Kluyveromyces lactis: one gene and its partner. Each later gene encodes a partner of the first gene's protein in a complex. Links are inferred from orthologs where the notes say so. Each region holds a gene or a part of one and is shown in the gene's direction. Other genes may lie near its edges.

Region 1 (6,595 bases):
TTTTCATTCTATTGTTCTCTTTTGTTTGAACCTATTCAGCTGTCAGTCTCTAGGCAAAACCAGCAACATATTAGTAAAAATGATCACGTGACAGATATCAACGCTTTCCCTTCTCTGTCAGAATATCTCAAAATCTTAATATGAAAGACAGTTGTATTTTTTTGATTTGATTAAGTTCAAGTCATCTCCGATGATAGAATTGCCTTGAAATGTGGTACGTTGGGCTGAAATAAATGAAGTACCACTATATACAGATGCTCAGAACTACTTTTAAATACAGCATTTCTTCAATACGTTTATTTTGCAATAATCGGGTTCTCCAGAACGAATCAAGGGCTGTATCGGATCTTCTTTTTAACCTACCAACATACAATCCAGCGACACATCGAAAGAGCGGTAACAATTCTCCACATAAAAATCGTGATAAACACCGCCATAGAAACGGTAATAAAGATCAACGGAATAAAAAACTTGTTTTCAGATGGAATAGTGGAACAGAGAAACAGCAGGCAGCTGCCAACTCGGTGCTAGAGGAAATACTAGCAATAAATTCAAAGGGTAACATCAAGGCAATCAATCCAGAAACTAGCAAGCTAGAAGAAGCCAATATTAGGAACTTTTTGAAGGGCGTTAACCTTGAGATAAATGGGATAGCTATGGTGAGTATCGATAATGCTGCGTCCGGAGATGTTCGTCTACCCATTGTCAAAGAAGTGCCAACAAGACAGGCATTAAAGAATTATTCCGACAAACTATCTAAAATTAAAGAAGAAGAACTTATAAAATTGGGTGTCAATATAAAGAAAACTGGCCGTCGCTCTCCAGACTCGAAAGCGGATTCATCTTGGAAATCAATCAAGGTTTCATGGCAAATATCGGATTATGATTTGAAAAAACAGAAATGTAGTGAAATTGTTTCTAATTTGGAAAAAGGTAGCAAGATTGCTCTTTTCATTAATGATAAAGACTCTTCTAACTTGTCACCTATAGATGAGGAGGAATTAGAAGCGATGCAGGAATCTTCTATTTCTAAAAAGGAAATGAAAAGAAGGGAAGAGGTTTTGGAGAAGCTAAACGAAATAATCAGCGAATATTCATCACAGATTACACAAGAAGGTTTGATCAATCAAAGAATAATTATGAAAGTAACTCCAAATCTTGTAAATACTAATAATGGAGTTGATAAAAAAGCTCTCAAGGAGCAACGGAAACGGGAAAGGCAGGAAAAGCTGCAACGCAGAATTGAGAAGAAAAAAACCAGCGATTCCACCGAATAACCAGGAAATATCTCGGACGATAGACGTTATAATGGCATATGTATCTTGTAAATATTGATAATTAGCGTACATATATCGAAAAATTTCACGTAATTGTGATGTATTCTAATGAATCAATAATGCTCCGATTAGCGAAAGGTCATGTAAGTCACCGTAGCCAAATTGTGGAATGGAAACTAATAAGTCATCTAATGGGGACTCAGCCAAATTGGAGCCGAAATTAGACCAACCCTTTTTCTTTTGCTCGGGGTTAACGAATTCAAGGTGTTTTAAAGCGGTTATGAGCAAATGTTTGGATCTCCAAAGTTCAACTGTTCTCTTCATTTCTGACATAGAGACACTCCAGATAGCACCAGCGCCATTAAAACTGCCCGGAGAAGAAAGAAATAGCCTTTTCCGGGAGTGTGAGAAGTGAACACCCTTACCAAACTCAATAGAGGACTTGACAGTGTTAAGGTCAACTAATGTGTCAAGTTCCAATATTAACCAGACCTCTAGTGCAGAGTTGCCAGCATCTTTGAATATGTAGACCTTATTGAAGAGCAACTGTGATATTGCAATATAATCTACTTGATCATGAGTCCATACGTGCATTTCTGCACCAAAGAATCCATGTTCAGAGGATGCTATAATATCCCCCCATTTCCATGGGACGTCTTCGCTAGGAAAGATGATATCATCCTCTTTAATGTAAAACGATGGTGGAATTCCTGTATTTAATTGTTGTAAGTTGTATCCGTACACTAGTCCTAGGCTTTGAGCAGTCACAAATAAAAAACTGCCAGATGCTGCAGCGTTAGCCCCATAATGTTGAAATTTTAAAGATCTTGGTCCGTTTAAGACTATACTCCCGATATTATCTACAAATTCCACTTGATTTATTTTACCTGAAACCAAGTATGGGATGATATTCAATCCTGGAATAATTATCACCTTTCCTAGTTCGTTCTTATTACAATACTTGCAAGTCAAAATTAAATCTGGTATCTGGTCGTTGTCAAGATCAACTATGCAACTAACTTCTTGATAGCTAGACGAAGGATCCACGATAGTTATAATCTTCTCACCAAATAAGTAGATATGAATAAATTTTTTACCAGGCTCAGAAACAACAAGATAGTCATAATTCGATAATCTGAACTTATGAACTTTTGACCCATAAAGAGCAGTCATTTTTGAACTTTGCTTACCCTCAGATTCAAGTGTGGACATAGGAATGACATAAATGGACCCACTTACATCATCTAATGGTGCCCCGACTGCAATGCAGGGAACATCTTCCAAGAATTCTCCACTGACAATGCTGGTACCAAATAGCGACAACTTTTTTAATGGAGTCACATATTTATTATCACTGTTGGAGTCTTGAGTTGTAATAGATAAAGAGGATTTCTCACTGGATTGTTGGACGTTAAATTGTAATCCAATTCCATAAGTGAACTTTTGCAACTCTGCTAAGATATTCCACTCTCCTCCTCGCCAATGTTCTCTTAAAAGTTTCGGACCACCTGGACTCAACGAATACGCTACGTCCAAGGCATGAAACCTTTTGTTCTGTAATAAATAGAGTTCCGAGTGCAAGACACCAAGCATATCAAACATATGGCCAACGATGCTAACCCAATCACCTTCGATATTTTGCTGTGATAATAGGTCGAGAACGTCTTCCTTCAAGGGTAACTTAATTTGCGTAGATAAGTAATAATTCCACTCAATATTGTCTTGACCAAGTAACAAAGATAAGTGAACTAAATCGGCAGAACCCCGTAGATATCTCAAAGTATCTTCTATACTACCTCCGAACTCTAAGTTTGCCAAAATATTTACCACTCCATGGTCGGTATAATTCTGAAGACTGTTTATCTTATTTCCTACCGACACCCCTAATATAAACTGCTTTAACCCATGATCATCATTACCTGTGCCATACTTTTCTTGCCATAGCTGTACACCATCCTGCAAGAACACATCCCAATCTACTTCTAATTTATCAAACTGCAGAACAGACTCCAGAAACAAAGAACCAGCTTTGGTAAAGGAATCGTGATTAGGGATTGACCTAGCAACTTGCGTCAAATGAAACCCTACGCCAAATCCTAGAACAAATCGAACAGATAATATGACTAAAACAATTCCTAGCATGATTGTGAACTCTCTTATACAGTAATTGCACCTCAGATCAAAGGGTTCAAAACATGTTACTACCTCTACTCTTCCTTCTTTAATTTCATCTCTGCTCATCTCATCTCATCTCATCGCACTTTATTTATTTCAACAAAAATATCAAAACGGTAACCCTTTACAAAATAATCATAATATATATATGTCAGAATAATCATTAAAAGAACAAAGCAACCAAGACAAATTGACAGGTAAACCACACATTTCAGGACCGTCTACTGCATTTGTATGTTTTCTTTTGTACGACACTTTGATGAGTGGAACCTTGCTGCTATTACCTCAGGTGCTTCTCTTCCGAACTGGCTGATATATTTGTGTGGTATTTGTACAATAGTTGCCACAAGTATATCCATTATTTCACAATGCGGGCAGTTGTGGAATTATAGAATTCCTTCGCAGCAAAGGTTGATATTAAGGATCCAGATGATGGTACCTATATTTTCCATCTCATGTTTTGCTTCGATTTTACGACCAGAGATAGGCGCCATTTATATTGATCCGATTAGAGAAATTTATGAGGCATTGGTCATCTATCAGTTCTTTACGTATTTGACTTTACGACTAGGTGGTGAACGGAATATCATCATCAACATCGCGCCAATGTATCCACCGAGCAGGCATGCTATCCCATTCTTTGGGCGTTACCTACAAAGAATCGATCTTAGTGATCCTCACGATTTCGAGACGTTGAAGCGTGGTGTTTTACAATACGTTTGGTTCAAGCCAGTGTACTGTATCGGTATGGCAACGTTTGAAGCGTTCCAATGGAATACCGTCTGGTTAGTAATATGCTACAATATCAGTGTGACATGGTCTCTTTACTGTCTCGCGATGTTCTGGAAATGTTTGTACACAGAGCTTTCAGTATTCAAACCATGGCCGAAATTTATGTGTGTCAAGTTGATTATTTTCGCATCGTACTGGCAAAGTCTCATTATCAACGTTTTAACGATTATAGATGTCATTGATATACATGGTGACGACAAATATGTGGCATTTGAGATCGGTAATAGTGTACTTTGTGTTGAAATGATTGGATTTGCTATTGCACATTGGTATGCGTTTTCAAGTGACGAATACGGTCCGGACAAGTACCCAAACTCTGGAAGGTTGAAGATCCTCTATGCTTTGAAGGACTGGCTTGGTTTTAAAGATCTATGGTGGGATTTCAAGAGTGTAATAAATGGTGATTACAGAGATTACAGGAGCTTTGACTCGGTGGAATCAATGCTCGCGGACAGAGACACGCACTCAAGAACCAACAGATTGACTAGGGGATTAAGGTACACAAATCAGGGTATGTCATCTTACTGGGTCGGATCTAGTGGATATGGCAGCACCGAAACTGATAACGGGAACGATTTAGAATCGGCATGGACTGATATCACTGAAGGTTTGAATTTGCCAAGGTATATTCCAGAGGACAGCAATTATCCAGTGGTCTGGGACGCAACATCACATCGATATGATGCTAGAATTGATGATTTGAGGAAACAAATGAGGTCGAAGTAAATGTTTTTTAAGGGTGGGACTTTTGTATTGTACTTACTAGTGACAGGAAGAGAGGGCAGTCATGATTTTAGAACAAAGAGAAAACAGCAGCAATAGCGTTTAATTGTGGGAGAAATGACAAAATCTATATGGATATATGAAACGCTTAAATATACATACAATATCTACAGGGGATATATAGCAGTTAGAAATTGTGGAATAAAAGACCATGCTGCCAGATAAAAAGGAATAACAGGGGAAGAAGAAGGTAAAAGATTGGTGACTCTAAATATAAGCATGTCAAGTAAAACGAATACTAAGAGCACAACATTGTGGAATTGGGGAGGGGTAAGCGTTATACTTTGTGCGTGTTTGTAAGGGGGGGGGGGGGGTCATTAGATCATTCAAACGATATTTATAATGAGGGTTCTTGCTTTGTGAACAATAAATGTTTAGCAAATTCGTAAGAGGTCCAGGAGATAGCAGTTGCAGGGATATTAGAAATAACTCTTGGTTGTAAACCTCTCCAGAAACCTTTCCAACCGTAAGATTGCCATATGGCTTGAGCAGCTTTCTTGAAAGTATTTGCGGTTTTGAACGATTCCACATGGACGGTATCGCTCCCTCTAATCTGTAACACTGTCTTGATGCAATCTAAAGGCGTGGTAACAGCTGCACAAGTGGCACCGGCGATACCACCACACAAGCAATGGATCCAAGGGTTGTATGCATTAGTTGGGTTGAAGAACTTAGTACTGGATTCGTAAATCACGAAGTTCAAAGCTGCGAATGGGATATTCATAGCCAAAGTGGTTGGATAACTGTAAAAGAAAGCCATTGGACCTTCGTTCTTATAAATGTTGAAAGCCATTCTCCACATGGAAGAGTCACTACTCTTGGATTGCAATTGCAACCTCTGTTTGATTGTATCGAAGGGGTTCATTAATGCATCTGCGGCCACAGTGGCAGCAACACCACTGACGGCAGTTTTCAACGGCTGATGGGTATTGAAATCCTTAGCGTCGATCAACTGTTCTTTACAAAATTCATAAGTTGCAAAATATACTGCATGAGCAGGGCCTGCACCCATCACCATAGACTGCACACCTCTCCACAACGCAAGGGACCCCTCTGTAGAAGAGATTCTCGATATCTGTTGTAAAAGGGTACCCGCACCGGCACCACCACTGGCAGCACCGGCACCACCAGATGCCGACGCCGACGCCGCAGCCTTAATTTCCGATACTGCTTGCATTCTAGTCTTCAAAGCATCGATAGGAAACATGATCGAATGTTCCATGATACCTGCAAACGCTCCTGCAATCAATTGATATGATAGTGGTGCAGTATCTGGCAAAGCCTCATAATCAATCTCCTGAATACCTGGGTCAGACATGCTAAAATGATCACTCTCTTTCTCTTTTTCTATCAGACCAAAACTCAATCAAACCAAGAAAAAAAATAGCAGAGTGTTTCAAAACTAACAACTTCTTACCTGATTAAAAGGATTCGGTGGTGTATTAAGACAAATTCTGGGATTGTTGATGAACCAAATGCTGTCAAAACTCGGTCTCTTCTCTCTCTTTCTCTGTATCTATACTGATTGAAGAGTTTGAATTTTTCAAATTTTTCACAATTTAGGCTTT
Region 2 (5,382 bases), about 450 kb from region 1:
CTTCTTGAGCTATCCAGAAGTCAACGAAGATCTTTACGATGAAGATATTGAAAAAGCAGTTAAGAGAATGCAATCTGTTATCGACCTTGGTAGAAATATTCGTGAAAAGAAGACTATTTCTTTGAAGACTCCATTAAAGACCTTGGTCATTCTACATTCCAATCCAGATTACCTAAAGGACATCGAAGCATTGAAAAAGTACATTGTTGAAGAATTGAACGTCCGCGACATCATCATCACTTCCGAGGAGGAAAAATACGGTGTGGAATACAGAGCAGTTGCTGACTGGCCAGTATTAGGTAAGAAGTTGAAGAAGGATGCCAAGAAGGTCAAAGACGTTCTACCAACTCTAACTTCTGCCCAAGTCAAGGATTACTTGTCTACCGGTGAAATTGAAGTAGCAGGTATTCAATTGGTAAAAGGTGATCTAAGTGCCATTAGAGGGCTTCCTGAATCTGCTGTTCAAGACGGACAAGAAACCAGAACTGATAACGATGTCTTGATCATTCTAGATACCAAGATCTACGATGAGCTAAAAACTGAAGGTCTTGCTAGAGAATTGATCAACAGAGTTCAAAAGCTGAGAAAGAAGTGTGGTCTTGAAGCCACAGATGATGTCATTGTCAAGTATGAATTAGTTAAAGATACCATTGACTTTGAGAATATCGTCAAAGATCATCATGACATGTTGACTAAGACATGTAGGTCTGAAATCCTGAAGGCTGAAGGATCAGAAACCAATCCACTTGCTGATGAAGAACTATCTATCAACGATACCATCTTCAAGTTGAAGATTTTCAAATTATAGATGTTGAAATGTATATAAAGTGGGAAAAAATGTATAGCAGTTACGTTTCTCTAGTGAAACGAAACCCGTCCGTACTACTTATAAATTCACCACATTTAATTAATTTAATTGCAATTATTGGCTCCGTAGATCACCTCTGCTGATTCTCTAGCAACAGTCGATCTCATATCTTATTTCGAATATAATGTGTATATGTAATTCTAAGGCGTTTTCAGTTTATGAAGTTAATCGAACAAAAAACCATATCTCTAGACCAGCATCATTAAACGCCAAAAGGATTAAGGTTATTTCTATGTACGCTGGGGAAAGAAGCCTGGAGCAGGCCGTCCGGTGTATTGCAGACGTTAATCCACAACTTTGAAGCTCTACATGAACTGTATACCGAGCAGTCCGGTTCATGGCAGATATCACGAAGAAGATAGCGATTCCGATCTTGACAATGTCCAAAGTAACGATGGAAGAGCCGATTCTAATATCACTGATGAAATATTGGAAGAGCGAAAGCTCAAATATCAAAGGTACAAGCAACCGTTATCATCATCGTCCCCCATTAGAGACCTTATGAGAGAAAGAAGGAAGGGCAGACTACGGGAACTGGCAAGAGAGAAGAAGATCAATAGCTACAGAAACGACATGGAACAATTCGTCATGGAACAAGAATACCTACGACACTTGCAAGACATGCAACAAGAAGCACAGAAACACGAGATACCGCCAGATGAGATTGATAGACTGGTAGAAGATGAAGGAGAGGTCGTGAATAGTGCCGATGAACCCGCTATGTTGAATAATATTTCCACAAAGAGGGAGCCAAAACAGCTAAATGAGGATGAAGAGCTGATACGGCTGATAGAACTGCAGGAAGAGTACGAATCCTTGATGGAGCAAGAACAACAGGAGCTCGAGGAAACCTTATCTGGCTTTAGCATATAGAGCAGCAGCTTCCACACATATATACGTACATAGTATTGTTACCCGGATATCACGTGATTCATTTTCTGTCTTTCCCACGTGACTTAAGGGTCAACGGCATCTCAAACCGTTTAAGGGGGGAACACTTTTGTTTTGTCATTTTCCAAACAGCAGAAAGGGTATAAAAAGGGAACACACGCGAAGATCAAAGCGGCGCATATCATCGATAACTAAACAAAGAGCGTTTTTCTTAGCTACCCAGTAATCTGTTTGAGTTTTGCAAGAAAAGTGCAGTACAGTGCTATTACGTGCAAGTTTTTTTCTTGAGAGAGAGAAAGAACCAGAAAGACGGATAAAAAGAGACACAACACGATTCAAGAGTTGGAACAAATCAGCTAGACTTTTGAAAGTTAAGTTACAAACATCTTTTCGGGTTATTAGTTTGAAATAGAGACAGGAGAATATTTCAAGAGAGTTTGATTATTTTTATCGGTGTTACGTATTATAGGAGAGAGTTTTAAAACGCAATGAAATCTGCATTCAAATCTGAGTTCCCATTTGAAAAGAGAAAGGCTGAATCTGAAAGGATAGTGCAAAAGTTCCATAACCGTATTCCAGTGATCTGTGAAAGAGGTGGCAAATCGGATATTCCAGACATTGATAAACGCAAATATTTGGTGCCAGGAGATTTGACTGTTGGCCAATTTGTTTATGTAATTAGAAAGAGAATCAAGCTACCTGCTGAAAAGGCTATTTTCATCTTTGTCAATGATACTTTACCTCCAACAGCAGCTTTAATGTCTTCTATTTACCAACAACACAAGGATAAGGACGGGTTCCTTTATGTATCCTATTCGAGTGAAAACACTTTTGGTGACGATGCCCTGTTTTCTGAGGAATGAGATTAAGTTAAACTTTCTTCCCTTTAAGTTTTCTTTTATGATTCCATTAGGTTGTTCTGCTTGATGCAAAACAAGTAACTAATGCACAATTTTGAACCAGATATTGTTGAAAAGATGATCTAAAAGAAAGAACCTGAATAACAATATTGAAGTGATGATAAGATGAAATGCATTGTCGAATGTCTACGATGCTATTATTTTCTATTCTTCCACACCTTTTGCTCTAGATATATACCGAAGCAGTATTTGAAATCTTTCTGATATGTTTTCCCTTCTATTTATCCTATTCTCATATTTCTAGCTGCAACAGTTCCCTAGATCTGGACAAAGCGTTGCTTATAATACCTGCTGATGAAGTCATATGTTGCCGTTCCATAATGAAATCTCTAGGCTTTTTTTTTTCACTTCGAAAGAGGTTCTTCATAAATATACAATTTTATATACCTCTTCAGCAGATTGCAGGTCGAAATTCGGTTTAATATATTCTTTCCATAACCAAAGACTTATCGCAACATCATAAGAAAGCAATATTGATATTAGTTGTTTTGTTTATTAAGATTGGGGTGAAAATGTTATTTATCAATATAGTATACAAAGGGAAATAAACACCACAACAGACGTTTTAAACTAAAGCTGTTCTTTTTTTTACCATCTCGCTGAAAGGTTAGAGTAACTCAAAACACACTATCACCTGTGCGCTTTTTGTAATTTTCCAATGGGTCATTTTCAATTGAATACTTGTCGAAGGAACGAATTTCTTCTAGTGGTATCAAATCTCTCAATTTTCTGTCAGAGTGATACCATTCTTTAATCAGCCAAACCATCTCTTGTTCGTAAATATCGTTGGAGCTGGTAGTTGTTTCAATTAAATCTTTGAGAACATGGTACATTCGGTCGTATGAGACGCCAGCTTGGATGAAAATAGATGCAATTGAACCTGCTTTGATGTGTTCTTTTGGAAGGTTCTCATATATTAGGCTACAGATGTGTGGGAATAAATCAACAACTGGGAACACAAATTCACTGGTACGTACATTCTTACCAACACGAATCACTGTTGATGATGCTAGACTAATGAAAGTAGTGCTTTTTTCCAGTTCATCCGTAGCATTGTTCTCTGATAAATGTTCCTTGAAAGAACTGAAAAGCTCTTCCCATTTCGATATGATTTCCTCATGATTTCTAAAGTCACTGACTTTGAAAATGAGCAGACAAATTTCATAATAACTCAATGGTGCGGCAAAGTCATTATAAAGTTCAGTCACGGTCAAAATTTTGCCTTCAAGTTGTTGCAAGGCTTCATTTCTGACAGTCGAATCAATCCTGAGGTCATCCTTGAGAGCACGGACAATTTCATCTTGAATGCTTGCTACATCGACAACTTCTTTTATCATGCCAGATAATTGAATCATGGCTTGCCTTTGGCTTGGCGGAGAGACTCCATTACAGAAAACGTTAGCTCTTGACAAGTACTCAATTCTGTTTTGTAGAGGAATATCGAAATCCGAAATAGCTAATGAATACAGAATTTGAGCTGCTTCCAAGAAATGCGATCTTTTGGATTGGTAAACCCAAAGAAGATTGGAAATTTCTAGGGATTTCGCTGCTTTTTCTTCTAAGTATGGTAGAATAAAATCTGAGTCTAGCTGAAGAAGCTTTTCTTCAGACTTTTGCTGTACCAACCAATCATACATTTGATAATGGAATAATTTGTCGTTATATTTTAAAGTAACGTTGTAAACCTCATCGCGGGTTTTTTGAATATCTTGATTGTTAACATTTTCAGGCAGAGCAGCTAGTTGGTCAACTTTGATTAAAGTTTCGAACACAATTTCATAGATCGAAACTCTAGCATTGTAGTATTTTTTCCTTTCATCGTGTTCCAAAGATCCATCTGCAACATATTGAAGTGCCAATTTACCCTTGTCCATCGCATTGGCAATATTCAACAAAAATTCGACGGTTTTTGGGTAGTAATTAAGTTCCAACATGATACCTACAGCCTCTTTTATCTTATCTAAAGACACATCATCAACTATTCTTTCAAATAACTTTGCTGCATTGGTTAGGTGATAGTTGAGTGTTTCTTGATCTCTGAGTCCTATTTCTTTTGCTTTTCTCAAGTGCTCGACAGCTCTAAAGCCAAGAACATCACCGGTGGAACAAAACGATCCACAGCGTTCTTGAAGTGCAGTAGCGATGTATTCAATAGATCCACCTTTTGTAATACTTCTGTTGATGATTGAGGAGAGAATCTCTCTTATTAAATTTTTGGTTTGTTCATTGGGATTGAAAATATCCTTGAATTTCAACTTGCTTAAGTCGTATTGAATATCGAAATTCAAGTACTTCATAATGTCAACAAATGCTAAGTATTGCCCTTCGTAACCATCTACTTCACTCTCTTCGAATAGTACGTTCAAAAATGAAAGTGACTCCTTTATGGATTGAAGGAGTTTGATAACTGCGTTCATAGCAACATTTTCTGCCTGATGCGCAACATCTTCTCCTTTATCCACCACCTTTTCTCCATTAATTGGAGAAATATTAGTGATTGTTGTAATTGAATTACCATATGATTGGAAGAACTCGTTTAAAATCATTACTGAGGATAGATAATATTCGATATCACCTCTTGATACAACGATTTTTGTAATAATATTATCACCTTTAATTGAACTCTTCATCACTGAATTATCCGGATTAATTTTTACATGGGGATCGAGTTGGAAAATATCTTTATCCCATATGTCTCTAAAT

Evidence for each region. Proteins that work in one complex are often made in the same cells at the same time.
Region 2: the proteins of HFL1 (region 1) and ATG8 are in contact, whole or in part, in a crystal structure (PDB 6AAF), measured with the Schizosaccharomyces pombe proteins. The link is inferred for Kluyveromyces lactis from reciprocal best matches to the Schizosaccharomyces pombe genes hfl1 and atg8. Residues at the interface, in NP_593211.1 of Schizosaccharomyces pombe: Leu386, Gln387, Phe388, Glu389, Ile390, Asp391, Glu393, Met394, Glu395, Leu397, Tyr398, Gln400, Ala401, Lys402, Met404, Arg405, Tyr406, Gly407; in NP_596531.1 of Schizosaccharomyces pombe: Phe5, Phe9, Lys13, Glu17, Arg20, Ile21, Tyr25, Arg28, Val31, Ile32, Lys46, Lys48, Tyr49, Leu50, Val51, Pro52, Asp54, Leu55, Gly58, Gln59, Tyr62, Val63, Lys66, Arg67, Thr87, Phe104.

Annotation. Positions count from the first base shown.
Region 1 is NC_006041.1:1,377,866-1,384,460, forward strand, and holds HFL1 (Hfl1p), read left to right. Parts: upstream 1-3,686; coding exon 3,687-4,970; downstream 4,971-6,595. Other genes in the region: AIM23 (Aim23p), read left to right, coding at 234-1,277; KLLA0_E15401g (uncharacterized protein), read right to left, coding at 1,383-3,518; KLLA0_E15445g (uncharacterized protein), read right to left, coding at 5,365-6,345. UniProt on the Schizosaccharomyces pombe protein: Vacuole membrane protein that recruits ATG8 to facilitate the degradation of vacuolar integral membrane proteins during early-stationary vacuole turnover (EVT) when cells enter stationary phase.
Region 2 is NC_006041.1:1,827,450-1,832,831, forward strand, and holds ATG8 (ubiquitin-like protein ATG8), read left to right. Parts: upstream 1-2,247; coding exon 2,248-2,622; downstream 2,623-5,382. Other genes in the region: isoleucine--tRNA ligase ILS1, read left to right, coding at 1-808; RTT105 (Rtt105p), read left to right, coding at 1,178-1,741; NUP170 (Nup170p), read right to left, coding at 3,297-5,382. UniProt on the Schizosaccharomyces pombe protein: Ubiquitin-like modifier involved in autophagosome formation. With atg4, mediates the delivery of the autophagosomes to the vacuole via the microtubule cytoskeleton.